Linked DNA regions of Pelodiscus sinensis. The protein of the gene in region 2 interacts with the protein of the main gene of each other region in a pairwise test. Links are inferred from orthologs where the notes say so. Each region holds a gene or a part of one and is shown on either strand. Other genes may lie near its edges.

Evidence for each region.
Region 1: the proteins of UBE2U (region 2) and TRIM32 interact in binary tests that used the Homo sapiens proteins (3 or more experiments, as listed by UniProt). The link is inferred for Pelodiscus sinensis from reciprocal best matches to the Homo sapiens genes UBE2U and TRIM32.
Region 3: the proteins of UBE2U (region 2) and RNF144B interact in a two-hybrid assay, tested with the Homo sapiens proteins (2 studies listed by BioGRID and IntAct). The link is inferred for Pelodiscus sinensis from reciprocal best matches to the Homo sapiens genes UBE2U and RNF144B.

The regions. Positions count from the first base shown.
Region 1 is NC_134732.1:6,517,276-6,527,621, reverse strand, and holds the start of TRIM32 (E3 ubiquitin-protein ligase TRIM32), read right to left. Parts: upstream 5,261-10,346; 5' UTR 5,150-5,260; intron 4,818-5,149; exon of another isoform or gene 4,085-4,817; intron 1,682-4,084; exon of another isoform or gene 1,615-1,681; intron 1,188-1,614; exon of another isoform or gene 1,076-1,187; intron 1-1,075. UniProt on the Homo sapiens protein: E3 ubiquitin ligase that plays a role in various biological processes including neural stem cell differentiation, innate immunity, inflammatory resonse and autophagy.
Region 2 is NC_134719.1:17,548,242-17,558,513, forward strand, and holds the start of UBE2U (ubiquitin-conjugating enzyme E2 U), read left to right. Parts: upstream 1-5,138; 5' UTR 5,139-7,297; coding exon 7,298-7,363; intron 7,364-9,158; coding exon 9,159-9,240; intron 9,241-10,272. UniProt on the Homo sapiens protein: Catalyzes the covalent attachment of ubiquitin to other proteins.
Region 3 is NC_134712.1:105,603,871-105,614,903, forward strand, and holds the start of RNF144B (E3 ubiquitin-protein ligase RNF144B), read right to left. Parts: upstream 4,244-11,033; 5' UTR 3,662-4,243; intron 1-3,661.

The DNA.
Region 1 (10,346 bases), on a different chromosome or scaffold from region 2:
ATTGTATCCTTTGGTATATATGGTTGTGACTATTTTCTTCCACTATTTGATCTGAGGAAGTGGGTCTGGCCCACAAAAGCTCATCATCTAATAAACCATCTTGTTAGTCTTTAAAGTGCTACATAGTCCTGTATTTTGTTTCAGCTACACCAGACTAACACGGCTACATTTCTATCACAGTGAGAATGTGTGCATTGGTTTATTAGTAGGTTTCAACAGGCACCTTGTTTGTTATTCTTTAGAGTCCTCATTTTCAGAGACTGATTCAGTGGTGTAGTGGAATCACAGTTAACTAGCAGGTGAGGACCTGATCCTTTGCTTCCAGGATTAGCAATGTTGTAGATTTAATACTGAAAGCTCCTGGGGAATTATGGTTTTAGTGTTTACGGCCAGAAGGAACCACTAGATTATCTAGTCTGACTAGAGATGAAAACTCATGTTTAAAATGTTAACCATTTAAACTGTATGTTTAACCAGCCTGCCACATCAAGTCTGGAGCGGTCCCCGCCCATGGTGCATACCAGACAGGCTGGGCTGAGCCCACTATACCATGCTGGGCACTGGTTAACCAGTTACCCCGGGTAAGCATGCTAGGTAACTGGTTAGCCTTTTATATCCTTACACTTCCTAATTGCCTTGTAGCCCTATAACTTGGGTTACACTAAAGAATTTCAGTCTCCAGAAATTAAGATTTGTTATCCAGCAGCTTCTGCTGCTAGCACTGAAACAGAAGAATTGTCCTTATCCTTAATATACATAAAAGTGATGGGAACAGAAAGCAATGCTCAACAGCCAGGCCAGAATAGTTCCCCAAAGTAGTGAAAAACAATGATAAATCTGCAGTGCAAAGCCTATTGTCTTTATGGGTTCTCCTTAATAATATGTCAGGCTTTTCTTTGGAGAGAGAAGGCTAGGAGCAGATGCCAAGAGACACTGGCCACCTATAAAAAAACAAAACAGAGAGCAAGAGAGATCTATTCATTAAGAATAAACTGCTATTTGTTTTGAAGTGGGTCATATATTAGGAAGCCAAACTAATTGTGATTTGAATACAAAATATAAATCACAAAACCACCTGTTTATCAGAATGGGTCTCACTGAAGAAAAACAATTCAGCAGCCACTGTAATTGCATCCTTAGCAGAGGTTTCCAGTTAACAAGTGCTCTTCTGTAGTTCAGACAGTTCCCTAAGCACAAGGGGTTAAAATCAGAGAAAGCCTTAGGCAAGGGTCAAGTTAGAAATATACATGTGATTTCTTTAGATTACAGTTAAAATGTTTACAATATATAACTTTGCCCTATTTGGTACTATTCTTTTATGTTTGTTTCTGTTAGCATGCACTAAGAAACTAAAGTAGTTAGATTCACTTTTGTTTTATAGTCAACTTTACAATTAGATGCTGGTACAAGGATAAAGATGAAAAATCAAGCTACAAACACTGCAACAACATTAAGAAAATATTCCACTGGAAGAATACTAATCCTAATAATATTTTTATTGGTCTTTTGCTTGGGGCAAGCTTACTCGTACAATACCTAAATTTGGGGCAAAATTTGATCTGACAACATCTCTATAACTCAGAATTTTCCTGCCTTTGTTTTATTTACACTAACCTTTGGTATGTGTGATAATAGTAAATATACAGCTGCTAGAAACACTGCAGGATTTTTCAAATTGGCCCTGTGGGATTAGAAACATACAATGTGATCACAAGAGAGTATTTGCTATAAAAAGAAAATTAGAATGTTTATCTTCCAAGAAGCCAAGTCCCACACATGCCTCTGAGTTTGTTTTCTGTCAATTGATTAACATTTTTATTAAGCAAATATTAGTTCTGAGTGAAATGGAAGTGCCCTGGGGACTGTTAAGTATAGCTTTGCAAACACAAATATGTCCAGTGTGGGTTGATGAACACACAGTGGAGAATATCTCAAGTGAATGCCCTCAGACACTTGCACAGCCATGTACAAATTCCTTAAGTTTGATTTGAAATTTGGGTACAACAGTCTGCTTAGGAATGACATGCCTTCTGCAGCAGAAGATAAATTCATTAAACAAGGAGCTTTGTTAACATGGGAATAATCACAAATCAAATTAACTACTGATGCAATTAAAGCCATATGTAAACACAGTAAAGCTGCCTGCTAACAAGACCATGGCATGGAACTTTAAATACAAGAATGACACCTGCTGGCGGGCTAACTTTTTTTTTTTGGGGGGAGGGGGGAGAGGAGAGGATCAAAAGTGTTAGGAAAGGCCTTCAAAATGAAGCTATCATCCACACGTCCGCTGCAATAAAGCAACAATTTATTAATGAACAGATATCTAAAATCCAGCTTGTAACTGCTCAGCATTCACGCTAAAAAAATTATAGGATTGTCCATACTCTCTTCTCAAAGTGTCCAGCCTCTCCCAGGAGCTTTATGTAATATGGCACAAAGGAAATGCTATAGTCCTGCGCTGACCCTGGAAATCTTACAGAGATCTAGTTGTCTTTGGCTTTATCTACATGAGGGTCTCTCTATCCTACTGAAACTATTGGAATAGATAGCTACATCACTGTAGCTGTGCCAGCATAACCATAAGAACAGCCATACTGGGTCATACCAAAGGCCCACTTAGCCCAGTGTCCTGTCTTCAGGAGCCACAGAACCGAACAGGTTATCATCAAGTGATCTACCTCCTGTTGTCCATTCCCAGCTTCTGACACCATTCCTGCCCATCCTAGCTAATAGCTATTGATGGACTTATTCTCAATGAATTTATCTATTTCTTTTTTTAACTCTGTTAAAGTCCTGGTCTTCATAACATCCTCTGGCAAAGAGTTCCACAGGTTGACTGTGCATTGTCTGAAGAAATACTTCTTAAAGGGCTACGTCTACACTGGCATGATTTTCCAGAAATGCTTTTAACGGAAAAGTTTTCCGTTAAAAGCATTTTCGGAAAAACGCGTCTAGATTGGCAGGACGCTTTTCCGCAAAAGCACTTTTTACAGAAAAGCGTCCATGGCCAATCTAGATGCGCTTTTCCGCAAAAAAGCCCCGGTCGCCATTTTCGCAGAAAACAAATCTCTGCTGTCTACACTGGCCCTTCTGCGCAAAAGTTTTTCGGAAAAAGACTTTTGCCCGAACGGGAGCAGCATAGTATTTCCGCAAAAGCACTGACAATCTTACATGAGATCGTCAGTGCTTTTGTGGAAATTCAAGCAGCCAGTGTAGACAGTTGGCAAGTTTTTCCACAAAAGCAGATGATTTTGCGGAAAAAGTTGCCAGTCTAGACACAGCTCGTGTTATGGGAACAAGCAGGGGCAGCCCATGAGCCTAGGTGAACTAGGCAGTTGCCTAGAGCGCTGCTGGCCCAGGCGCTCAGTGATGATGTCATGGGGCGCCGCCCGCCTGGGGCGCCAGCTGCCGCACCTGGCCTTGGATCACTTCTGGGAACAAGTGGTTTACTTTCTCTACACCAGTCATGTTTTTATAGACCTCTATCATATCCCCCCTTAGTTGTCTCTTTTCCAAGCTGAAAAGCTCCAGTCTGATGAGTCTCTTCTCATATGGTAGCTGTCCCATACCCTTAATCATTTTTTGCGTTTTTCTGAATTTTTTCTAATGCCAAGTTATCTTTTTTTGAGATGAGGCGACCATATCTGCACACAGTATTCAAGATGTAGACGTACCATGGATTTATACAGATACAATAAAATATTCTCTGCCTTATTCTCTATCCCTTTTTTAATGGTTCCTAACACTGTTTGCTTTTTTGACTGCTGCTGCACATTGAATGGACATTTTCAGAGATTTATCCACAACTCCAAGTGGTAACAGCTAAATTAGTCACCATCATTTTATATGTATAGTTGGGATTATTGTTTGTGAAGAAGCTAGATTGATGGAAGCGTACTTCCATTCACAGTTGTATCTACCTTGAGGGTTAGGTCACCATAGTTATGTCCCTCAGGAAAGTGGATTTTATACCTTGCCAGATGAAGGTATATTGACCTAACTTTTAAGCACAGACCACTCCTAGAACAACAAACCCTAATTGACAAAAGGAGTTACGTAAACCTACGTTACGTAAACCTACCCTTCTCCCTCAACTTGGATAAAAAATGTTTGCCCTCTAGGTGTAGACAGTGTCAATAGAGCTTGATACCCATTGTTAGCCATGTATGCTGGGTCTCTCCATACTACCAGTGTTTCCCAATTGATGCTCCACGGAACTCTGGGGTTCTGCGAAGCAAAAGTAAGGGTTCCGTGAAAATGCAGCTCTCCCCCGTCCCTTCTTAAAGCAACAGAGTCTATTTTGCAGGGTTTTTTTTTTTTTTTGGCTTGACAAATTTTACCCTGGCAACCCTAGCGGTTCCATGAAATTCTTGTAAGCTGAAAAGGGTTCCATGACCAAATAAAATTGGGAAACACTGCACCACACTATACGTATTAGCGGGACAAAATTGTAGTGCTGCCCCAAATAACAGTGATGGGACTTTTCCATTGCAGGTTGCTGAGAGGCAGCTGGTAAATCAATGGGATTACCTATGCCGGCCAGTAACACAGCTGCTCTACCGTTCAGATGCAGACTAGGAGCTAGTCAGCAGGGAGCAGGGCTACGTCCATTCCTTTGCCATCTTTCATGTTTCCATTTGGTTCTTACTCTCTGCTTCTGCTCCCGCCCAGAGCCCACCTTGCCCTTGCCTCCCTCTGCCCCGGGGCTGGCCCCCGCCGGAGGGGAGCAGGGCCCTCGTGCCGCAAAGGCCAGTCTGGTCTCCAGCCTTTGACAGGGACACCTGACTTATGTTCGTTATGGGGGGGGGGGCTTGGCCCCGAACCACCCCAGCCTGTCCCCGGGGTGCCCAGCTCTGCACCCCCCAATGGATCTGGCCTCCCCCATCTTTCTGCTCCCCAAGGCCCTGCCCCCCCTTTCAGCGCGGGCTTCCCGGGGGCCAGGTACCCCCCAAACCCCGCCCGGGGGACCCCCCCCGGCCAGGGGGCGCAACCCCTCCCCCTCTCTGTGCCTGCCCCTGGGGGCCGTTACCCCCCCCCCCCGCGAGCCTTGGCGCCCCGCCCCCCGCGAGCTCTTTACCCCCGCAGCCCCCCCCCCCCCAAAGGGAACCGCCGCGAGCCCGGCGGAAGAGGCGCGGCCCAGCCCTACCTGCCCGGCCTGGCCTGCTGCTCCTGCCGCCGCCCCTCCCAGCCTGCTCCGCGCGCTCGGCGCCTCCCCCGCCCGTCCGCGCCGGCCCGGAGCATGCTGGGAGTGGTAGTTCCGGCTCCGCGGCGGGGATGGAGCCGGAGCTAGAGCGGGGCAGCTGGCTCGGGATAGCCCCCCCCCCGGGTTGTGTTGGGGAGGGGCTCCCCCGCCGCCCCGGCTGTGCCTGCAGAGCTCTCCCTCGCGCCGCCCCAGGGTGTGTCGGGGGCCCGCGCTGCCTCCAGGCAAACGCCCAGATTCGCGTGTCTGGGGGGCTGCCCCCTCCCCCCCCCCGCCCTTCCCGGGTTTGGGTTGGGGGCCCGGTGCCCCCGTCCCCGGTTTGCATTTTGGAGGCACCTGCCTCGTTGTCCCCCCCCCCCCCGGTGCCTGGAGGAGGAGTCTCTGCTCCCCCCCCCCCCCCCCCCCCCCCCGCCCGTGGGGCTTTGCTCAGTTCAGGCACCAGCCGGTAGATCTCGGAGCCTGTGACAGGTTCGGCCAAGAGCCTGGCAAGCGCAGCAAGTCAGCTGCCCCCTCCCCCCTGCTGCCCATCTCCTGCCTGTTGCCTTGGAGCCCCCCCCCCCCCCCCCCCACCTCTGGAGCCTCCTGCATGCGGTACAGAGCAGGGAACGGAGAGGAGGGGGCACTGAGCAGGGTGCCCCTTCTTCCACCCTGTGCTCTCTCTCTCCACAGAAGGGGGGGGGGGGGGGAGCTTGGGATGGAGGGAGTTTGCTGGCTGCTTTTGAGAGTGATGCAGGGCCAGGGCAGGGCTGAGCCTGCCTTACCCCCACTGCATCACCATCCAAGAGCCATCTGAGATAAGCAGTGTCCAGCTGGAGCCAGTTCCAAACCCCTGCACTGGTCATGAACCCCCTCCTATACCCCTAGCCCTGAGATCCCTGGACTCAAACTCCCTTACAGCGCCTGTACCTTGAACCCACCCCTGCCCCCCAACTCTCTGCCCCAGGCTCAGCTCAGAGCCCCCTCACACTCTAGATCCCTTACCCCAAGACCAAAGCCTGTGCCCCAACCCTCTGCCTCTGCCTCGTGAAAGGGAGGGAGAATGGGGAGGAAGGGAGGGTGGAGTGAGCAGGAGCCGGGTCTGGGAGAAGGGGCACAAAGGAAGCTGGGCAAGGGTGTTTGGATTTGGGGTAGATCTTACATTGCACTTAAATTCAAAAAGTGATCTTGTGCTTAAAAAGATTAGCTACCACTGCTCTAATTGCAGGACATTCACAACTGAGTTGGGGCAATTCTCAGGGATGGATGGGGCCCAAGAAAAAGTGACTCAGACTAGTTAGACAAACATATGTATGATTGGATGCCCCAGACTTGGGGTTCTCAAGACTTTCCATTGCCTGTTTTCCGAGAAGTAGTTCACAGTAAGGATGTCAAATTGCGGTTAATTGACTAGTCGAGTAGTCGATGGAATTTCCCAGCAGGGGCTCTTGTACATTTCAAAGGAGGAATGCAGAACTCGGAGTGCAGCCTGGGGCCAGCGGGAAGTCCCACTGACTCCAGGCCGCACACCAATGCCTGCTTTGAAATGTACAAGAATCCCCAGCAGGGATGCCTGGGCATTTCAAAGTGGCAACGCCACACAGCAGAGCCTGGGATCAGCTGTGCGGTGGCTGCCCCTTTGAAATGCTGCCTCCATGTTTCAAAGGGGCAGCCATGGAGCCCAGGGGCAACTAGGGACTCCCCAGCTGGCCCTGGGCTCCACGGTGCTTTGGCGTTTTGACGGGGCAGTACCACACAGCTGAGCTGTGGATCAACTGTTTGGTGGCTGCCCCTTTGAAACGCTGCCTTCCTCCCCTCACCCCTTTGCAGCCTCTATCTCCTAGAGGCAGCAAAGGAGGGAGGGAACTGACTAGTTGACTATTCGACAGACTATTCGATAAGCAAAGGCTAAGTCCTTAACATCCTTAGTTCTCACTTCTCTTTCACCGCATGCAAGCGGCTTCACTCTCCCTTTGCTCTTTCCCAACATCTCTCTGGTGACTACTATTGCTTATGGAGATATTCCACGCTTCTCCTCATTTGCATATTTGTTGTGCAAAACAATGGCAGCGTAGACATAGCTTGAGAGTTTCATTTCTTTTACCACCATTCAGGCCATGGGGGTTTTAGAGTGTGTCTACACTGCCCTCCCCCCAAAAAAAGTGTGTTCTTAACTTGGGTTAAAGTAGGACAGACTTGGTAACTTTGCTTTTCATTTGGGTTAGCAGCTTGAGTTAAAGTTTGGGACTGAACTCAAACTGCTAATATGAGTTAAAATCCAGGGTGCTTTGTCTTCATTGCTATGTTATTTTTGTTTGCAGTGTAGACATACCTAAAGAGAGTAGACAGAATCATGTGGCCAGGTAGCTTTCTGAGTCATTAGTAAATGCTTCACAAACCAACAATGTTTCACTGATCCCTAAACAGGACTATATAGCACTTTAAAGACTAACAAGATGGTTTATTAGGTGATGAGCTTTCGTGGGCCAGACCCACTTCCTCAGATCAAATAGTGGAAGAAAATTGTCACAACCATATACAGGCAGTCCCCGGGTTACGTACAAGATAGGGACTGTAGGTTTGTACTTAAGTCGAATTTGTACTTAAGTCAGAACTGGCGTCCAGATTCAGCCGCTGCTGAAACTGACCAGCGGCTGATTACAGGAAGCCCGAGGCAGAGTTTCTCTGCCCCGGGCTTCCTGGAATCAGCCGCTGATCAGTTTCAACAGTAGCTGAATCTGGACGCCTGGGACAGAGCAGCTGGGGCGCAGCCGGGTAGATCTCTGCAGCGCCGCACCTCAGCGCTGCGGGGACCAACCCGGCAGCACCCCAGGTGCTCTACCCCAGGTGTCCCCAAGTCAGCTGCTGCTGCAACTGATCAGCGGCTGATTCCAGGAAGCCCAGGGCAGAGAAACTCTGCCTCGGGCTTCCTGTAGTCAGCCGCTGGTCAGTTTCAGCAGCAGCTGACTTGGGGACGCCTGGAGCAGAGCAGCTGGGGTGCTGCTGGGTTGGTCCAGTAGCGCCACTCCTCGACGCTACTGGACCAACCCAGCAGCACCCGAGCTGCTCTGCCCCAGGCGTCCTGATTCAGCCGCTGCTGAAACTGATCAGAAGCGGCTGAATCAGGACTCCTGGGGCAGAGCAGCTGGGGTGCTGTCGGGTTGGTCCAGTAGTGCTGAGGAGCGGCGCTGCGGGACCAATCGGCAGCGCCCCAGCTGCTCTACCACAGGTGTCCACGAGAAAAGCCTGGTTTGCTGGGGGGGGGGGGGGTGCACTAGCTGCGCCCCCCCCCCCCAGCAGATCATGGAGACGCGGGCGGCAGGACCGAGATGTGCCGCCGCCTGGGTCCTCCACGGCTTTGCTCCGCGTCTCCCTGGTCTGCTTGGAGGGGGCCCAGCAGACCAGGGAGACGCGGAGCAAAGCCGCAGAGGGCCTGGGCGGCGGGACCGCACAGATACGCCGCAGTCCTGCCGCCCGGGCCCTCCGTGGCTTTGCGCCGCGTCTCACTGGTCTGCTGGGGGACCCCCCCAGGAGACCAGGGAGACGCAGAGCAGCTTTTCTCGCCCCAGAGGATGCGGGCGGCGGGACCTCGGCGCATCTGGGCGGTCCCTCTGCCCGCATCCTCCGGGGCAAGAAAAGCTCCGTTCGTAAGTACGGATCCGACATAAGTCGGATCCGCGTAACTCGGGGACTGCCTGTATACCAAATGATACAATTAAAAAAAATGAACACATATGAAAAGGACAAATCAAATTTCAGAACAGAAGGAGGATGGTGGGGGGGGGGGGGAGGTAACTGTCTACCTTTCCTCCCCCCGCCCGCCCCCATCCTCCTTCTGTTCTGAAATTTGATTTGTCCTTTTCATCCTTTGGTATATATGGTTGTGACAATTTTCTTCCACTATTTGATCTGAGGAAGTGGGTCTGGCCCATGAAAGCTCATCACCTAATAAACCATCTTGTTAGTCTTTAAAGTGCTACACAGTCCTGTTTTTTGTTTCAGCTAAACCAGACTAACATGGCTACATTTCTATCACTGATCACTGTTTGAGAACCACTGTATTAGGAGTGACTACATTAGAAAATTAGGTTAATCAAGGATGTGAAAAATCCACACAGTTAAATGGCATAGGCTCATCTAAGTTCCTGTGTAGTCAATACTAGGGCAGGTCAATCTAACTGGAAGGGCAGGTCTAGTGGAGTAGTTCTAAAGAAATCAGTGCTGTGGTTAGTATTATTCTATGTTTTCTCTAATCTTTTCCATCCTTGTGCAGAATACATTTTCTGTGTGCACCAAAGCACGTGCGTCATCAGTAGAAACAAAAACTTTGCTGCGGACGTTTTGCTAATCAGCTGGGTGGCGTTTAAACGTCTCCTGAGCAGCTGCACAAGTGCACAGCTTGCAGGAAGCGCTGGTTGGCAGTCACCAACTTCTGTTGATGAGAGGGACAAGTTGGGAGTTCTTCTAAAAAAGATCTGGATTATGTGCAGCTGTGAAAAAAATGTATAATATTCTGGGGTATAGGTCAATGTTCCCACTAATTTTTTTCCATCCATGGGTGTAATAAATTTTATGTGCACCAATAGAAACACATGCTGCCAGCTGTGAGTGCTCTGCCAATCAGCTGGATGGCACCTGAATCACTCCTGGGTGGCTGTCCACATGCTCAGGTTACTGCGAACGCTCGTGTAGGTAACACAGGAGTCCTAGGTAAGAAATGGGAGGTAATTGTTCTGGTGTCCTCTGCACTGGTGAGACCTCAGCTGGAACTGTGTCCAGTTCTGGGCAGCACCTGTTAGGGAAGATGTAGACAAATCAGAGTCCAGAGAGCAACAAAAACAATAAAGAGTCAGAAAACTTGTCCCACGAGGAAAGGTTAAAAACACTGGGCATGTTTAATTTTAAGGGAAGGGAAACCTGGTAATTTGACAGTATGTTAAGGGCTGTTATAAAGAAGACAGAGATCAATACTCCTCCATGATCACTGCTCCATAGAGAACAAAAGAGATTTAGGTTTGATATTAAGAAAAACTGTCAGTTGCTAGCTCTGGAATAGTCTTGCAAGGAAGACTGTGTAATCCCCGGCATTGGAGGTTTTTAAAAACAGGCTGGACAAATTTGTTAGGGAAGATGTAGATTTACTTGGGCCTGCCAAAGTAGAGGAAGC
Region 2 (10,272 bases):
TGCTATTCTCTGTAGGGTAAGTTCAACCCCGGAACAGAAGTCCAGAGTACCATTTAAGCTCATTGTTAAGATCTGTAGTGAGACTTCAGTGCCACATACGTGCAAATGCTCTGAACCCTGTGTACATGTATGGCCCAGATATTCAAAGGTATTTTAGCACCTAATTCCCATTGATCTCATTGGGAGCTTGGCACCTAAATACCTTTTGAGAATCTGAGCATATGTGTTCAACAAGAATCCCATTAATGAATGCTTTTAAGACCATGTCTTCAGTACTATATATATACTGAGCCCACAAAGCTGACATGTCATTTCCAGGTTAATAGCATTCAGATCTGGAATTTTAATTAGGATTTTTGCTGTATTTAAGGGAAAGTTTCATTTTTGGAGACAAAAATCAATCACTAATTACATCTATACTAAACTTCCCTCTGACTGACGGATTACAAACCCTAAGGCTGTGTCTAAATTGGCATCCCTTTCCGGAAAAGGGATGCTAATGAGACACTTCGGAATTGCAAATCCGCAGGGGATTTAAATACCCCCCGCGGCATTTGCATTTACATGGCTGCCGCTTTTTTCCGGCTCGGGTTTTTTGCCGGAGAAAAGCGCCAGCGTAGACGCGATTTTCCGGAAAATAAGCCCTTTTCCAGAAGATCCCGTATTCCTACTTGGAATAAATAAGAACACAAACTGTGACTTAAATAAAGCAACCTTTGTATTTTGGCTGGCTCATGGCTCTCCATGTAAAAAACATGCTTGAAAAGTGATACCAAGATTCTTAATTTTGCTTATTCTCCTGAAAGCATTCGTTTGATAAGAGCATGATAAAACCAAGAGCATCCTCATAACCCCTTCCACCTATTGTACAAGTACTACTAGATTCATTGGTTCAAGAAGAAAGTAATGTCCATGTGACAAGAGAAAGCACCTAATTAACTAGATCTATCACAAGTGGCATAGGTCTATCATGCATTTGACATTTACCACAGCAGGATAAATCCAGATACACCTTAGTTGCTAAAACAACCACTAAAAGTAATCAGAAACTACTGTGAAGTCAGGCATAAACCACACACAAGCAAAAATGTACAAATGTTAATGCTGCAGATTCTTAGCACCCCATAAACATATTGCTTGCTTAGGTGCCTGCGGATAAAAGTGTTTAGCTTTAGACATGCCAGTTTGAAAATGTGCCTACTGGAGCAGCAATGGCAGACTTGAAAAAAAATCTTTCGGATACTTTTTTGGTTTTGCATAGAAATACATTAACTCTAACCCCTGCCCACTCACAATTATAAGTAGGTTAGGGGTATGTCTACACTACCACCCTAGTTCAAACTAGGGTGGTTAATGTAGGCAACCGGAGTTGCAAATGAAGCCCGGGATTTGAATTTCCCGGGCTTCATTTGCATATTGCCGGGCGCCGCCATTTTTAAATGTCTGCTAGTTTGGACTCCATGCCCGCGGCTACACGCAGCACGAACTAGGTAGTTCGGATTAGGCTTCCTACTCCGAACTACCGGTACACCTCGTAGGAAGCCTAATCCGAACTACCTAGTTCGTGCTGCGTGTAACTGCGGGCACGGAGTCCGAACTAGCAGACATTTAAAAATGGCGGCTCCCGGCAATATGCAAATGAAGCCCGGGAAATTCAAATCCCGGGCTTCATTTGCAACTCTGGTTGCCTACATTAACCACCCTAGTTCGAACTAGGGTGGTAGTGTAGACATACCCTTATTTTCTTTACTTAAAAGCTATCCACAACAGAGATCTGTCAAAAAATCATATATGCTTTCAGCTGTTAAAAATATAAGATGTGCTTTGAGCAAAAAGCCTATAAAGCCTCAGGGAGAACATTTTTCCCCCTCAGTGAATGAAGTTTGTGACTTCTGGGACTCAACTTCTCAGCTTGACTCAAAGCATTGCAGTGAGTTAATGAATGCTAAAAGAGAAAGGCAAGAATTCTCTTGGGTGCTAAAAAAAAACCTACTAAAATAAAATTGGATAATGTGAAAAATAAACTGCCAAAAGGTATCAGAATGTTGGTAATTCCTGTCTGAGTTGAAATTCAAGAACCAAATATTATTGTGCATCATAGACAAAGGCAGAGAAAATTTTACAGACTTTCTAATGGTCAAATCAGAATAGCAACTTCCTTCAAAGAACTATTGTAGTTGTTTGTGAATCTCTGGGATTTTGGAAATAAAACTCTTAAGAACTGCGACATGAGAGTACAAGATACGATTTGTTCATTCTGGCTTCTCATCCTTCCCAAATTGCCTTATCCTTACATAAGACCAAACTGCATGTCAAAATGGTAGTTAGCAATACTGTGTCCTCTACAAATAAGGATAATTATTACGGTGGGTTGGTACAGACTCAGAACTGCAGATGTAGCAAAGAATTATTCCACAAAAATGGGGTTGGAAGACTTGGATATACCAGAACTGCTAACTGAGTATTCCAGGGCCTGAGATATTTAACAGAAAACCAAAGAAGACTCCGTTAATGCTATGCATGACTGAAGTTGTACAAGAGTTTATAGGTTTAGAATATTCCCTACTAAATTTGCTAGTTGTTTCATTATTCTGTTCCCTTTGGACATCGAGAGAATTTTTGAAAGCTCACCTAACTGAAAATAATGAAAATGCTTTTTATCTGTTCATACTTCAGTGCTGTTAGAAATACAGTTATATTGGTCATTTGGGATCCAACACTGCAAGATGTTGAGTTCCCTCAACTTCCATTGAATCCAGTGGGCCTTGGAGGCCTCTCGTACTTCATAGGAGATATGTGTCCCTTTGCAAGATTAGGCTCTATGGCTATGTCTACACTGGCCACAATTTCCGGAAAAGCCATGCAAATCAGGTAAGTCAGGATAGGGAAATCCGCGGGGGATTTAAATATCCCCTGCGGATTTAAATAAACATGTCCGCTGCTTTTTTCCCGGCTTGGGGAATAGCCGGAAAAAAAGTGTCTAGACTGGCTTCAAAGTAGGAATAAGAGATCCTCCGGAAAAGGGCTTTATTCTGGAGAATCGCGCCAGTCTAGACGCTTTTTTTCCGGCTTTTCCCCAAGCCGGAAAAAAAGCGGCGGACATGTTTATTTAAATCCACGGGGGATATTTAAATCCCCTGCAGATTTCCCTATCCTGACTTACCTGATTTGCATGGCTTTTCCGGAAATTGTGGCCAGTGTAGACGTAGCCTATATGTTTGAGAGTCTTGAAGGCAACTCTGCCTCCTCACAGAACCTGTGAGGACAATTTCTGGGAAAGATTGCGTCTGTGCCAGGCCTACTCAAAGTGTGAGGTGTTCTGACATAGCTATCACTTTACATGCCATCATCTAAAAGATCTGCTCTACGAATTAAGTTGGGGAAATTCTATAGCCTGCTGAATTGATCTGAATTGATCACAATGGTCCCTTCTGGCTTTGGAAATCTGCAAATAACCTGAGAAACATATTGATAGATTAATATGGGTAAGAAACCTTTGTCGTGCTGGCTGCACACAGTTCACCAGGGTCAGCCCCTGGCAGGCCACCAGAAACTTTATTTACATGAACATGATCTGCAGGCAGCGCTGCTCACAGTTCCCCGTCGCCTGGCCTGCGCTGCTTCCTGCAACTCCCAAATGACCAGGAACAGTGAACCGTGGCCACTGGGAGCTGCGAGTGGTGGTGTCTACGGACGCTGGTTGAGGTCAACAAAGCATCTGGCGACCCACCAGTGGCTAACCCTGGTGAACCACATCTGGCCCAGCAGCCAGAGATCCCCTACCCCTGAATTAACAGTTTGTACATGATACTTAGATTTCAATAATAATTTATGCATGTGCTACAAGTGCAAAATGGGAGGGTGGAAATCTGCATATGGCCCACAGGCTAATCCTGAGAGAAGGACTCTCTTGCAAGAAGACAGTTTTCTTGATGATCTCTTCATGACTTGATTCAAAACCCAGTGAAGTCAATGGGAATTTTTCCCTTACAGGAAGTATTTAGTGTTTTTCACACCCCAGGTGAGAGCTGGTTCTCAGATCCTTATGAATGGAAAATATAATTTTGTAAGAATGTCTGTGCAAAGAGTCCTGTTATGTATACTGGGATTTATAACAGAACTGGTTTAAAATTTGTACAAAGAGAAATTAAATAGTTGTTCAAAGAGGATAAGCTATTCGTTAGCTCCAGGATGGTTAAGAAAATAATTAGTTGAACATATTTTTTATTTGCCACTAAAAACAAAATCATTTTAACTGAACTTCATAATTTTTTACCAGAAAATATTTTACTTAATGTATGAATTCAGCAAGTCCCTGCCATGCTCGGGGGGGCAAAAGGGACAGAACAGAAGACAGTCTGTGGCAAACCAGCAGAGCTGGGTTTCTGTGTGGTTTGAGTAGGAGTGTGGAAGGCATAGGAGGGCCGCATTGTTCCCAACACAAAACCACTAGATGTGTTACAAAAAAAAGGCATATAACTAAATGAAAGCACTCTGAGCAACCTTCTTGTTCTAGCAGCTCTGACTGCTGATACTGGCATCTTTAGCCAGCGTCTTAATTCCTCGTTGAGCAAACACCAGCAAGCATGATTGTGGGTGCAGAGCTACTGATAGATGGTACATACACTTACACCTTTGTCCTCTTGTTTTCTCTACATATCCTCTGGTTGCTCTGGAACAGATTGAAGCACTGCAATGCATATGCTGATGATATAACTTTGGGTACACTGGTTATCTGAATAAATGCGATAAATCAATCTCTGTGCACTCTCCCGTTGATGCTGGTACTCCACCAGGTTGAGAAGAGTAGGTAGGCAGTATTGATAGGAGAGCAGTCCCCACTGACTTTACCACACACAAGACGCTGCAGTAAGTATTAAGGATGTTAAGTATTGGGTAATTGACTCATTGAATAGTCAATGCATTTTTGCATTGACTATTTGATTAGTCGATAGAGCGCCTCCTCCTTTGAAGTGTAGCAACAGCCCAAGGGAATCCCTTATCCTGTTCGTTTATCCCTATTCCCTAGGGCTGTTGCTACACTTCAAAGGTGAAAGCGCCACATGGAGCCCGGGTAAAGGTGGGGACTCACTCACCCTGGACTCCGTGCGGTGCTGCCGCTTTGATACACGGTGGCAGAGTTTCAAAGCAGCAGCGCCTCATGGAGCCTGGGGTCAGCTGGGCAGTCCCCAGCTGATTCCGGGCTCCACTCAACACTGCCGCTTTGAAATACCGCACAGAGCCCAGGGTCAGCTGGGGAATCCCCAGCAGATCTGGGCTCCCCAGTGTTTCAAAGCGGCAGCGTACATGGAACTCGGGATCAGCTGAGGAGTCAGCAGCGGTGCTGCTGCTTTGAAGATCTCTTCTCTTCCCCTTGCTTGCCTCTAGCTAGTAGAGGCAGCAAATGGGGGGAAGTGACTAGTCGACTATCCTGTTGACTCTCCAATAAGCATTTGCTTATCAGATAGTCGACTAGTCTTTCACATCCCTAGTAAGTATGTTGACTTCGGTACTTGCATAGCTGAAGTCATGTAAATCAGATTGATGATGAGGGCTAGTGTAGAATAAGTCTTAACGACACTCCTAGCTTTTAGACGTTATCTCTGGGATTCTTATTGTCCTCCTACTCTGGATACAAAAACTAGATTCAATTCCAATAATATGGAAACAAAACAGCCAAATTATTTTATGATATTTCACATGCAGAACACTGGTTAACCCAGAAGGTTTTGTAATCTTGGGGATTCCCAACTTGCACAACTTTTTTCTAGAAATAGCCTCATTCCACTCAATGTCAATAGGACTTTCCTCATTTGAGTAAAGGGTGTAGAACTGGGCCGTTAGCAAGCTATCACCAAACATGATGCTAATTCTCCATTTTTAACTAAGGAAGGATTATCTTTCTCCCAAAGCATTATGGGTATTAATGAATTTTAAAAAGTGAAGATAAATTAAACTTAGCTATAGCAGATTCTGGCCATGTGTCAGAAGAATTATTTTGTGTGATCAGACGGCTGCTCTATTAATCCCTGTCGTGCCAGAGCTTTTGCAGAACAAGAGGCTGTGTTGCAATGCAGTTAAACTTTGGGAGTCAGGCAAAAGCAATTGTATTCTGAGCTCTGCCCTGATTTAGTAGATGACCTTGGCAAAGCTGTTGGCCCTCTCCCTCTGCGGACATTGATACCTACCCTGATTAAGGTGCGTTGAGATGTGAGGGGGGAAATGGCTCTGTCACTGTTATTGATACTTGCAGATTTTTAGTGTCGCCTTCCCTCTGGCAATGATAGGTTTGCTCTGTGAGCATGACAGATTTTAAACATCCTCATTTTTTAAACTCTTCCCCATCCCCATTGACCCAGAAACATGGGCCTGAGGAATTTGGGAATAAGATAATCAGACCTGGCATGCCAAAGGATTAAATTTCATGATAATTATGTGTGAGCTGGTGGAGTTGTAACCCGAGTGTTATTTATAAATAGGGTGCATGTAATTCTTATCCTATAAAAATCCCCAATCTTTAAAACTCATTATGACACTTCAAAAACAAACAAAAAGACTGGGGCAGAGCCAGCAGCCCTTTGCCCAGGCAATTCTCAGTGTGGGAATGGAAGGGGCCATAAAGGCATCTGCCTAAGTTCAAGTTCAGCCTCTAATGTCAAGGCTTGGCCTTCACCTCTGGATTCATGGCTTGGCCTGGAGGGTTTGCCTCTAGTGTCCTGTCAGCTGCAGCCATGGGGAATTGCCTATTTAAGTGCTGGGTGAAAGGCCACTTCTGATTGGAGGCAAGCTGATTAATGATCTAAGACCTCCTGTGATTGGCTGGGAAGGGAACACAGCCATAGCCTTATCAGCTGAGCAAACCAAGGAGTCTGTTGCTGGGTAACACTGTACACAGAGTCCAACTTATTCCTTGTGCCCTGGGCTGAGGAGGCTCCCAGCTGCCCTGGCTCTCCTTTACTTCCTATAGCCACTCTCCAACCATATAAGAACACTCCATGGATCAGGAATAAGCTTCTGAGCTGGGTTTGTTTAGCCTCTGCTAGTAAGCATTCACCAGCTCTGCGTGGGGCTTTTAGTTCTGACTGACCTATTTAGATTTCAGCTCAAGGGCCATCAGCCTCTTTAAACGCCAGGCGAACCCTTTAGAAATGATGTGTACAAGCCACTAACTGCAGTGGCAGGAATTAGAGGGGGAGGATTTACTGTCCTTTTGCAAGACGACAGCCTCTGTGAAGCAAGAACAATATTGCAAAGGAAGGGGCGAGAGAAAGCGTCCTGCGTGAGTTCTATTATTGCTATGCACTCCCGCGCTTACTTGTTGTTGGAAAGAGAGTATCTGGAGTATAAAGAAGCCAATATTTTTGTGAGTAGTATCTTTATTCATTTTCAATAGCTGAGCCGGGGGATAACCAATTAACATACAACTGACATCTTTCTTACATCCTCAGCCTGGCTTTCCCCCTTTTTGTATTAGCATCCCTTCCCGCACGCTTTCTCAACCAAAGAATTAAAACTGCAAAATTATGTACTGAGTATGTACCTAGAGTCTTGGGCAGCATTGCACTTGGGCAGCCAGCTAGTCCCACCCACTGCACCACTGCAGCTGCATTTTTATTTTTAACAAAGTAGCCTGATCAGATATGGCTAGTAGAGCTAGTAGACCTTTCAGCTCCAGTGTAGAGCTATAATTTTTGGATGATGGTGGTTGGGTTTTGGGAAGCAAATGGGTTGAGTTATTTTAATCCTGCTATCTTTAATTTTCAAAGTTAATTCCACAGATCATCAGGCTTAATTTAATGAAATAGAACTCAACTTGGTTTCATAGTAGTGGACCTTTATTCTTTGGGTATTTCACCAGTGAACAGCTGAAGTGTGATAAGAATCCAACTGGAATCCCCATAGGAATTGCAATCCCCATAAGTAGGCAAAAATCCCACTGACGTGGTTATCTTCACATTGATTTTTAAGTGCTTTTATTGGTGCTTCTCCAGAGGAGAACCCTTACGGGAACATTGCAAAGGAATTTTGGTGACCGAGTCAGTATGGCAAGTGAGCTACTCAACAAAAATGTAAAACAAAATATTTGTGTGGACTGGCTGGCTCTGGCACTGATGATTAATATGTATGGTCATTTGCCTTTAAGTAGACAATTCAAATCTAGTGCTAGTTGCTGATGCCTGGCAATGATCTCTTCATAAAAATATCGTCTACTATAGCAATATGCTGTATTCCCTTCCCCAAAGCCAAGTTAAAAAGGACCGTGGCTACATGAAATATAAATGCTTACTTTGTTGTTAGATTTGATAACAATCCTTCATGTTTATATATAATACTAGAAGACTTACCTGGCATTGCCCAAGTCTGTCAAGGCAGGCAGCTGGCTGGCACTGTGGGCAGTGGAGGAGTCAGGGCAGAGCCTTGCAAGAGGCTGGGGGCAAGGTGTATGTGCAAGAGTAAGGGTTGGAGGGAGGGAGGGGCTCAGGGCGGAGGATCCCATGCAGCATGGGCCTTTTTTTGTCGTCATCCCCCAAACCAACCCCCCTCAGCCACCAGGGGCCTTTTTTCTCCCCCCATGTCAGTTCTCCAACAAAGGCCCGGGAAGGGGGGAAAGGGTTTGGGGCAGGGAGGCTACTTACCTGGTGTGCTGGCAGGCAGGAGCCCCAGTCCTGTTGGCAACCCCCTTGGAAGCACAGCTGCCCCAGTGGACACACTGCAGGAAAGCTCTTCTCTGCGGGCTCACTGCCCCCAGTGACTACTCTCATTATCGTGTCCCTCCAAATAGCCCCGCCCTTTCTGTGTCGTGGAAAACAGTCTCTTTCCCAGCACTTCCAATTGTCCTAGCGCAACCAACCACTGACCTTGCTTTAGGTTAGGATAAGAGGAAGCTGCATACCAAATTTAGTGGTCCTAGTTCTTACCATTTAGGAGGCGTTCTTGAACAAACAGACTCACGAACAAACAGACTCACAGACAAACACATAGACAGACACACAGATACACACATTTTCATGAATCCAAATGTCTCAAAGTGCTTTAGAAATATGAATTAACTAATTTTCATAATTCTTAATTTTAACTAACAAGGTAAGCAAGTTTTTAAGGGAACATTGCAAGTTCTTCACATTCCACACTGTACCTTCTTTTTGTGCCTTTTTTAGGGAATCTTTGCTACTCCGATAAAGGATAATTTGCTGGAATGGCTAGTCGAAGTCCAGGGATTAAAGGATTCTCTCTGGGAAGGTAGCAAAGATTTTTACCATGCCCTTTGATTTTATAGGTGTTGTGTGTTATCCTTCCATCCTGCTGGATATTTTTAAAAATGATGCTGTGAACTGTTTTAAGAAAGCATAAAGAACTTGACTAGCTTTTCATTATTAGCTGCATATAATGTTCCCCTAAACTTTTCCATCCGTGTGTGGAATAATTTTTTTATGTGCATGTGTGAATGTGGATCACCAGTGGAAACACAAACCTCGCTGTGGATGCTCTGCTCATCAGCCAGACAGCATTAGAATTTCTCCTAAGCATCCGCACAAGTGAATGGCTTAGGAGGAATGCTGGTGCATGTTAGTTTTCAGTGCTCCTCCAGTAGCATGTGAGCGGGGATTGCATTAGCATATTGTAAATCGTTTGTTGTTATTCAATGTACAACTACAGGAGAGACCCTCGGGATTTGCAGAATTGCTATTCGCAGTTCTGTATATTAGCAGGTGTCTACTGTCCCAGCCTGGGGAGGCATGTGGGGAACTCACTGTGACTCACGGCCCCCATGGGGAACTCACTGTAGCTTCTGGGAGCTGTGGGAAGCTCACTGCAGCTGCCAGGAGCCATTGTAGGTTCCCCACAGATCCTGGCAGCTATGGTGAGTTCTCAGTGGCTCCTGGACCTGGGGTGAGTTCAGCTGCTAAGGGGAGCTCCTGTGGGAGCTGGGAGCCATGGCTCCCAGTAGTCGCAAATTTTGCAATTCATGATGGTGCCAGGAACGCTTCCACCGTGAATGGTGAGGGTTTTCCTATATTTTGCAAAATAAGTGATGGGATTTTCATAGGGAGCATGTAATTTCAAATCAATGAGAATGATGTGTCAGGAAATCACTACCACCTGTTTTTCTGCTAAATGACAGTCAACCATCTATAGATAGAATAAGTACTGACCAAACGTTGTTATGCTCTGGTAGCAGTTTGGTGGTCACTGTCCTGTCCTATTAAACAGAATGTGCTAATAAACATAACAAACCAAAAAAGCCTACTGTGTTTGGCCCTGACTTCCTTT
Region 3 (11,033 bases), on a different chromosome or scaffold from region 2:
GAACAGTACGGGTCCCAAAACAGACCCTTGAGGAACTCCACTTGTTATCCCTTTCCAGCAGGATTTAGAACCGTTAACAACAACTCTCTGACTATGGTTATCCAGCCAATTATGCACCCACCTTATCGTGGCCCTATCTAAGTTATATTTGCCTAGTTTATCAATAAGAATATCATGCAAGACCGTATCAAATGCCTTACTAAAGTCTAGGTATATGACATCCACCGCTTCTCCCTTATCCACAAGGCTCGTTATCTTATCAAAGAAAGCTATCACATTAGTTTGGCATGACTTGTTCTTCACACACTCATGCTGGCTATTCCCTATCACTTTATTACCTTCCAAGTGTTTGCATATGATTTCCTTAATTACCTGCTCCATTATCTTCCCTGGGACAGACGTTAAACTGACCGGTCTGTAGTTTCCTGGGTTGTTCTTATTCCCCTTTTTATAGATGGGCACAATATTTGCCCTTTTCCAGTCTTCTGGAATCTCCCCTGTCTGCCATGATTTTTCAAAGATCATAGCTAAAGGCTCAGATACCTCCTCTATCAGCTCCTTGAGTATCCTGGGATGCATTTCATCAGGACCTGGTGACTTGCTGACATCTAACTTTCCTAAGTGATTTTTAACTTGTTCTTTGTGTATCCTATCTTCTAAACTTACCCTCTCTCTGCTTGTATTCACTACGTTAGGCACACCTCCAGACTTCTCGTGAAGACCGAAACAAAGAAGTCATTGAGCATCTCCACCATTTCCAAGTTCCCTGTTACTGCTTCTCCCTCCTCACTAAGCAGTGGGCCTACCCTGTCTTTGGTCTTCCAAATACTAGGTGACTGGCAGATGCCCTGTTCCTCAATGGAAAAAGTTCTAAACTTGACATCCAATAAACAACCAATTTAAAATTCTTCTGTGACTATATAGTTCAAAAGTCACCTGAGAATGTGAGAGCACTCCCAGCATAAGCACTCCTTCTTGCCAGAGGCTTTTCTAATGGTGATGTATCAAAGTCCATCACCAGTAGAGATGTTGAAGAAGTCCAAGACTTGCATAGTACTCAGGAAAAAACAGACACAAGAATGCTTCTACATGCTGAATGTGCCAATATGGCTTTTGGGTCTCTGGGTGTCAAAGGAACCATAGTAATTATGTAGGGTGACCAAATGTCCCAGTTTTATAGAGACAGTCCTGATATTGAGAGCTTTGTCTTACACCGAAGCCTATTACCCTCTACCCCAGCCCAATTTTTCACATTTGCTGTTTGGTCACCCTATAATTATGTCATCTGACACAGATGTTTTGGTCCTTGCTGTTCACTACTTTTTAAATATGGAACACCGAGAAGATTTGCCCAGTGTTACATGGGTTGTTAACTCAAATTTTTTCTTCGCTGAAATCATTGTTCTGGAGTGGAGCTGGGGATGAGGGGTTCAGTGTGCAGGCTTCCCCGGGGAAAGAGGACAGCCCCAGCCCTCTCTCACTACAGCAACTTGGGGCCAGGCAAAACGCACCTGTCCATGGCTGCTGCAGTTACAGCGAGTACAGCCGAGGGAGGAGTTCATGTCTCCCAGCGGGGTGGGGGGGGCAGACAGATGCACAGACCATAGCCACACAAACAGACAAACTCTCTGAAATACATAGTAGATAGCTGAGCTGGTCCCCATCTCTAGCCCCTGGCTACTCCCCATGATCATTCCACAGTATAACTGTCTCTCCTACCAGGCCCTGACCTTTCCATTTTACGAGAAACAATCAAATTCCATTGTCCTGGTACAACTAAACACTGATCTTTCTTTAAGTTATGATCACAGGAAACTGCATACCAGATGTGGTGGTCCTAACTCTTACCATTTAGAAGGAGTTCTTGAACAAACAGACTCACAGATGAATCCGGGGACACACAGATGCACAAACTCTCTAAAATATATAGTAGATTAGAAAACACATGGACTGAAACAGGCACCATTACCAGGACAACTATCAAGTGCCACTTCATACCTGTGCATACAATTTGTGAGGTACTCACTCCACTACTGTAACATTCTTCCTGCTTTATATGTGTTAACAGCATTTGACGCAGTGTCATCCCTGTTTGGTACTGGGGAAGGGGGAACATGTTTAATGTTGTCACAGTGAAGGGAACTTACCTCTTAAGATATCTTGCCAAATTGGGAGAGAGTAAGGCTATGTCTAAACTGCAGGCTTCTTTTGGAAGAAGCTTTTCCTGAAGAGAGCGTCTGAAAAAACTTCTTCCTAAAGAGAGCGTTCACACTGCCAGAGCACATTGAAAAAGCAATGGACGCTATCTTACATTTCAGCTGTGATTACTATGGACAGAATGGCCACCAGGGCATCTGTGCTTTTTCCTCTTCTTTCACAAGAACTCCCTCTTCCTCATCCACACACACCTTTTTCCAAAAGAGCTCTTTCGGAAAAAGGCTTCTTCCTCGTAGAAAGAGGTTTACCAATGTTGGAAAAAACCCTCTGTTCTTTTGATTTTTTTTCAAAAGAACATGCTTGCAATGTGAACATAAGTGAAGTTTTTCGGAAAAATGGTAATTTTTCTGAAAAAACTCTGCAGTGTAGACATAGCCTGACAAACTATAATTTCTCCAACAAAGAAGTTTGTAGCAGTACAGTACTATAGGACCAAAAAGAAGGAAAAAAGGAGCCCCACAGAAATTGCTTACGATTCAATATATCAAAAAGGACAAGACAATGGCCAAACTTACACCATGTGAGGACAGTTTTGAAGAACAAGTCAAAAGAGCATCTTGTCAAAGATTTGAGTGTTCTTGCACATACATAAGCCACATATTGGATCACCATTGCAACCAATGGGATGGAAAAATGTGTATGGAGTGCACATGCAAAACACATTTAAAATACCTGTCATTTTCATTTTAAGTATGTTTCAAAAGGTAACTAGACTTTAAATCAAAGCTATTTTAAAACTGAACATTTATCATTTGTTATTATAAATATGTAAAATAACATTCCCAACTGAATAAAATCTCCAAATCAGAATATGGTTTTGAAAAGGAAAATGCCTATAGATGCATTCATAAGAGAAATCAGGAAAATCTATCTTTTATTGGTAAACTTCCTAGAGTGGAGGAGAGTTATGCAAAGATCTCCAAGCTGCAGCCCACAGTAAAGGCACATATTTTGTAAATAACGCAAATCACTGAGAAATCTGTGGGGGAGGATCCTTTCTTAAAATGGGAAATCACTGTTCATTTACAAGGCTGGGTTAGTTAGTTAGCTGTTTGTGTGTTGAGGGGAAGAAGGCAGAGAGACATTTTCCTAGCTTCCTACATATTCAAACACTTCACTGAGAAAATCCTAACTTGACGTTGTGTGTGTGCTGAGTAGCAACCCACGGTCTATAAGGGAAACGTTGACACCACAGGCAAGCAGCGCTTGTGGGCGCAGCTGCAGCACTGAGCCAGTGGTGTAACAGCAACGAGCCTCTAGGCACCCCTCCGCCACACGAACTCACTTCACCGCAAGTATGAATGCAATGTCTTCCGATGCCGTGTGAAGCTGACATGCTGCAAAAGGGAGCTTCGCAGACAGCAGCAGCTCTGGAAAAGCCCATGTAAAGGTGTAGATTACATCAAAATGTCCAGCTGCATAGGGGTAACCCCCAGTTGCTTACCTTTGTTCCTCTCCCCCAGCGGTTAGGGCATGGCATGAAGTTTTAAGCTCTGGAGCTATTTCTTCCTTAGCCCAGCTCCTGTTAAGCTTGCAATTGCAATAGTTTCTTCGGCGCTTAACAGCAGCTGCTGAGACAGTGAACTGACAACAGCCTGCTTCAGGTAAGAAAAAGAAAAAAAAAAGAAATAAAAGAAAAACGTCTCTTTTGCAGATGCTCTTCCCTCTCCCTCCACTTGCTTACTCCTCTACCCGGTTCACTTCTTTCTCTCTATCATTCTCCAACTCAGCTCCTTTCCTTCTCCCCTAAGGAGGATTTTAGCAGCAGCACGTCCAGGATCTCGGCTGACAAAAAGAGCTGGGATGGGCGGCTGGAGGACCCACATCTGGGGTGCCAGGGGAAGGGATACACAACCGCCAAGGTCTGCTGCTCATAGCAATTCATACACGCGGTGTGTGTCTGAAAGCACCGCCTCCTCCTCCCTTACAAAGGGCAAATTCATTTTTACATTTCATGAATACAGTACAGAAACCAGGGGTCGGTGCCTGAGGATTCCCACAGCCACTGAATGTTTGATGGCGAGCACAGCAGAAAGAAAGAGGCTCACTCTGAAAAGAAAAGACTCGTCTATTCTGGACAAAGTCCATTTAAATCGCCTGTTGTCAACAAACCATGATCATACCTTTGATTTTAAATGCTAAAGACCTTTCAAAATCCAAAATGTCCCTCCTTACACTGTTTATTTAATTTATCTTTTTTAATTTTGGACAATGAGAATCAAAACGGCTTTCACTTTGAATTACAGTTAGTGTAATAACTCTCATGCTGAATAGGTTGATTGCATAATAATAATAAAACTTTGTTATTGATGTTAATAAAGACTTTATTTTTTTTTATTATTATTATTATTATTATTATGTAAGAAAATCTAAAGGTTTAATATTTGTTAATAAAGGTCTGCAGAATCAGGGCAAATAACCCTAAATGAAGGGGGAAATGTAAATTGACAGTGTCTCTTTATCTTAAATATAGGTTATATAATGTTGGTACAAGTGACTCACACATACAAACATGCTATATTCATTACAAAAACTATGCCAAAGGTAACAAGGGGCTACCAACTGGTTGAACACTCATTGGGGGCACATTTTGCTCCTAACATAGTTGATTAACTGAACCTCATTGTTTGCAATGATATTGCACCAATGCACCTGAGAACAGAATTTGATCCTCTGTGTTGAACAATGCAGATCTAGAAACCAATTGCTCAACCATATCCACATCACCCAGATCTTTGCAGCAAACAGAGGGATTCAGAATAATTTCACTGCTCTGCATTATATGGGGGTGCATCTACACAGCATCCTTAGCTTGAAATAAGTTACCCAATTTGCATTACGCAAATTGCACAGCTTATTTCAAGAGTATTTCAAAATAACTCGCTATTCCGAAATGCCCATTATTTCAAAATCTATTTCGAAATAACAGGCTGATTCAATAGATGTGGAATAGCTATTTCAGGATACTTCTAGTATCCTGAAATAGCTCCACAGTGTACACCTATGCTAAGAGGGTTGTACTGAGGTCTGTGTGCAGAGCTCTCTGAGCCCTGGTTTACACTACCAGGAATGTGTGGAATGTCCACACTACCAAGACTTTTATTTTGAAATAAGGGACTGGTTATTTCGAAATAACTATTCCTGATTTCCACGAGGAATAATGATAACTTCAAAATAGCTATTTTGAAATAGCGGACACTCCACTGCTGTTCTTTTGAATTAACTACTCCCCAGAGTCATTCAAAGTGACTGTTCCAAATTCTTTAATAGATTTGTGAAATTTATACCTGAGTTGTGTTTTTATTGAGCAATTATCCACTGGTGATAGATACAGTGTCGGGGAACCTGTTCTTCTGGTGTCAGGAACAAAATTCCACAGATCTTAGTTGTAAATTTATTCTTGTTACTGAGTTCCTGGGTAACAGATTGAAATTTATTTTATACTACACAAGTCAATTATATTTCATATATAGCCACTTTCTGGTACCATCCAAATTAGATTAAGTTATTAGATTAAGTAAGTGTTGATTTTCCATGGTATAAAGTAACTGCTTAGTGTTTCAATAATTTCCTTTTTCTAACATTTTGCAAATTATTTGTGTTACTTAAGTCAACCTATCTTTTTATGTTTAAACTTCTATTTTGGCAACGGTTACATGATATTTAGGTTTAAACGCTGTATATAGTTCTAATATTTATATATATGAGGCTTTACAGTTTTTCAGCATTTAACAGCACTTACAGGCATTAACCCCGACCGTCCCTGCCGTGTGCGGCTGGGAGAAGGCTTGAAAGAAGAGGTGGGCATGAGGAAGGTAGGGATGATGGAGCAAAGCATGTGTGAGGGCACAGGGGCAGGAGGAGAACGGGGGCAGAGAGTGCTGAGTGGGTGGGCATCAGGGAAAAAGAGGGCAAAGGGGCACAGGCAGTAAGGGAAGGAGGAGGCACCAGGAGGGAGCAGGGCTAAGGGAAGGTGCAGGTGCCAGGGGGTTTTGGGGTGGAGCAGAAGGGCAGACACCTGCAGGGAAGGGACCAGCACCAGAGAAGAGAGGCAGGGCAGGTGTGTAGAGGGAGGTGTTAGCAGAGGGGATGAAGACGGGTAGCTCACATGATCAGAGTGGGGCTACTGGAGGATTGGGCACGGGGGGGGGAAGAGAAGGGCTGGTGGAGGGAGGCAGGTCGCAGGAGGGCTCAAGGCAGTGAGAAGGGCAGGAGTCAGGACAGCAGAGGAGGGTGAGGAGTTGGAGGGCAGCAGGCACCAGGGGAGCTGATGGAGCAAGGGGAGGAGACATGGCAGCAGAGAGAAAAGGCAAAGGTTTATAAAATATTTATTAATAACTTGGGTACCACAGTGGCACATCCAAACAAGCCACATGAACTCAGTACAGGTACACAACACAAAATCCATTCTGCTCATGGGAGGAAACTCTTAGGTTATATCTACACTAGCAGCTTTTTGCGCAAGAATATCTTATCCAAGGGTTCTTGTGCAAGAACATGTCCACACTGCCATGTGCAAGCTGTGATTTTGCGCAAGAGCATCCATGGCAGTATGGACGCTCTCTTGCGCAAGAAAGCTCCAATGGCCATTTTAGCCATAGGGGTTTCTTGCACAAGAAATCCCTGCCGAGCATCCTCACTACCCTCTTGCGCAAGAGAGCTTACATCTGTTAGAAAAGAGCGTAGCGCAAGACACCGTCTCTTACCACGCCGTACTGTAAATTTCCTTGCACAAGAGCAGGCGGGCAGCGTGGATGCTCTGTGGGTTCTTGCGCAAGAATGGCTGTACTTGCACAAGAAGCCATGAGTGTAGACATAACCTTAGAGGGAACACTTCCCCCCGGCTCTCTGCCCCCGAGTTAACATCACACACATTGAGTTAATGCAATTGCAAGATAGTTGCATGAAGGGGGTTTGGTGGGGGCCACACTAAACCCTATTGGTAGGAGGATGGTGGGAATTTCCTTCGAGAGGGGTGACATGACACCTTTTACTTCTGGTCATGTGTCCATCTTGCCCTGAATGTGTTACCTCCAGAGGCCTCCAGAGGGGGTGTGGCTAATGGGGGTCGGTGTGTGGTTAACAGCGGTCAGGGGGTGTGGTTAATGGGGCACCACCAAAACTTATACAAATCTGCCACCCCTGCTGGCCCCAGGGGAGGAGTGCATCGGCCGCAGGAGGTATGAGTTTAGTGCAGGGTTTTCCTGTGCTGTGGGAGGGTGTGTGTGTGTTGGTGGGGGATTTTTTGTATGCTTTTTTTTTCTTTTGCTCAACCAAAATTGCTGTGGGGCCCTGTCAAAATCGTTTGAATTGGGCCCCGCACTTCCTAAAGCCGGCCCTGCTGCCAGTAGAGCTGCATGACCAAAAAGGAGCTCAGGCAAGTGTACCAGAAGACAAAGGAGACAAACTCAGACATGCCACTTATATGAGCAGCTGCATGAGATTCTAGGGGAAGACCCAACCACTGTCTCAAAACTGTCCATAGATACCTCCCAAGAGACTCTTCAGACAGCCTCAGGCAACAACAAAAAGTATATTGGAGATGAGAAAGAGGAGGAGAATATTTAGTAGAGAAGCAGAGGATCTGATCTCACCAACAGGCAGGACCTTTTTCTAACTTTGGAGCCAATTCCCTCCCAGGACCTATTTATTGTTCTCAGACCCTGGTGGAGAGGAAGGTATTTCTGGCGAGTTCACATATACAATCAGACTACAGTGATTAAATGTAATTGGGATTAATCTTTGATTTGCCCTGAACAATTGGGGTACAGTGGTGGCCAGGCCACCTATACATTGAGAGTTTCCCAGAAAAGTTTGTTAGCATATCTGGAGATGGAATGGGAATCCTCCCTGCTGTGATCGAGGTACTCTACAATCTTTGTCAGGTTTCAGGAAAGGGCTGCCTTATTCCATCCTCCAGGGGAGGACACCTTTCTAGGGAAGTAAAATCCTCTTTCATTCATTAACCGGTTAAATGTTAAGGTTAACCAGTTAATTGAGTATACAGGGTGGGCAGAGGGGCTGCTCCAGCTGGGCTGAAGTACCTCTGCCTGAAGCATGCCGGGAGTTACCCCCAACTCCACCATGAACCAGGGATGCTCCGGTTGAGCTGTAACAATCCTGCCTATGGCAGGCCCTGTGGGGTTGGAGCAGCCTCCTGCCCTTGCTGGGTGGGGGACTGCTCCAGACCCTCACTGGTTAACCATAACTGGTAAACCTCACCTGTTAAGAGTGAGGAATACTGGTTAACTAGTTAATCATTAACATTCCTACATCTTTTTATACCAAACCAGCAGTAAGTGACCTAGCATCATTGCAGCACAAAGCATAGCAGCATAAGCTCCAGGTTTCTGGCCACATTTATTCAGCATCCACTCCTCATTGTGCTCTCTAAGGGTACGTCTACACTGCAACATTGTTTCAAAATAACTAGCATTATTCCGAAATAACTTAGTCTGCATCTACACAGCAGTAGTCATTTCAAAATAGTGTCAAAATACTGTCAAGCTGGAGGATTTCTTACTCCAACTCCTGTAACCCTCATTGTATGAGAAATAAGGGAAATTGGAGGAAGAGTGCTCTATTTCGAAATACAATAAGCTATTTTGAAATAAGCTATGCAATTGACGTAGCTCAATTTGTGTAGCTTCGTTCAAGTTAAGCCCTGCAGTGTAGACATGCCCAAAGACTGATATTGTGCATGGTGACCTGGGTGAAATGGTGGAAGCTCTGTAATTGATAGGTACTGAGGCAATCCACCTCTGTTTGTTCATCCCCAACAAATTATTACCCAGGTTTGCTGTCCTGTTTGCAATGGGCTCCAGAGATCATCCCGGAGAACAGCTGCGTAGGAGGGGTTGGCAACTACGCTCTATGAGCCCTTGAATCTCCAAATCATTGCAGTCTAGAAGCGGAGGGGGCCCCTTCCAATTCCCTCCTCCCCCTTGCAAACACAAAAGCATGAATGAGGACTGTAGTTTGCAAGCACCCTTTTCCATGTTTTCAAAGCAGAAACAAAATAGCCCTCCTCACGAGTTGCTTACCATGCCTGTCTGCAAAGAGTTCAACTGCCCAGCACACTCCCATATGTTATACTTTACTGGTAGGCACTCAATTTAAAATGCATAATTCAACCTAGTACATAACACGTACTTTGTTTCAGGGGGTCATCTGAAGAAGTGGGCTGTGCCCACAAAACCTCATAATACCATATACATGTTTTGTTATTCTTTAAAGTGCTACCAGACTATTTGTTGTTTTTTAAGTTTAACATGTCCTTTGTGTTATAAACTGCTTCATTCAGGTTTACCTTTTTATTTCCCTAATACAGTTGGAACCATCAGTCTGTTACTTGCCCCTGCTTCTCCAGTAGTTAGGCTTTCAGGGTATGTCTACACTAGCCCCCTAGTTCTAACTAGGGAAGCTAATGTAGGCATTCGAAGTTGCAAATGAAGCCCGGGATATTTAAATATCCCGGGCTTTATTTGCATCTTCCCGTCTAAGCGCCATTTTTAAATCCCCTTAGTCCGAACTAATTGCCTGCGGCTACACACGGCAGTCAAACGTTAACTCGAACTAAGTCCTTACTTTGAGTTAACGCTTGACTGCCACGTGTAGCCGCGGGCAGTTAGTTCGGACTAAGGGGATTTAAAAATGGCGCCCAGACGGGAAGATGCAAATAAAGCCCGGGATATTTAAATATCCCTGGCTTCATTTGCAACTTTGAATGCCTACATTAGCCTCTCTAGATCGAACTAGGGGACTAGTGAAGACATACCCTCACAGACTAGAAAGTGGGAAAATAAAAAAACCATGGGACAAAATATTTAACGAGCTCATGCAATCTGCCTGCACTGATAGAACACTACTGAATGCATAGATGAGAACGCTGTTAGAGGTCATCTGCACCGAACAGGAGGACAGGAAAGCTTGCAGGGAACATGAACATAAGGCACAGGATGAGATGTTGAGGCTCATGGAGGGGAACAAACAGAGCTAATTAAGCACCTGGTAGAGGTGCAGGAAAAGCAACTGGAGCACACAGCTTCCCTGCACCCATGCAAAACCATCTGCCCTCCTCACCAAGTTCCATATCCTCCTCTCCCATATGTCCTAGAATGCAGGTGGCGGGGAGGACCAGGAAGCCTTAACTCAACTCCCAGGGATGGCTCCTGGAGGAAAAGACCATCATTCCCAGAGCTTTGATAGCTACACAGAGCAATTGTAATAAACCATGTGTCCTTGTGCCTCCCTCCCTCCATTATTAGACCCTAGCTACACCCACAATTCCTTTTCTATTCAGTTATGTTCTCTCTGACGCATAGTGCATCTTAATGTGCTCTTCTTATTGCTCTGGTATCTGGCTGCTCTTAGTTAGCTACCAGGCAATCTGCCTAGACACTTCCCACCCACACCAGAAGCTGCCCCTCTTCCCCGCAACTTTCACAGATTCTATGCAGCACACACCAAGCAGCAATAACAATGAGAGTAGTGCTTTCACTGAGGTCTCACCTAGTGAATAAACTTCAGGAGGTAGCCAAGTTAGTCTGTACAGGATAAACTTAAAAAACAACAAATGATCTGGTAGCACTTTATAGACCAACAAAACATGTAGATGGTATCATGAGCTTTCGTGGGCACAGCCTACTTCTTCAGATGACTGGAGTTTTGAGTTTAGGATGCGCAGACTCAAAATAGGGGAGAAGGGAAAGGGGGGGAGGAAAAAAAGGGGGTGGGAAACAAGGAGCAGAGGGTATGAAAATATCAAAGGGAAAAACACATAGGCAGAGCTGGTCATTTATAAGCACCTAAAGATT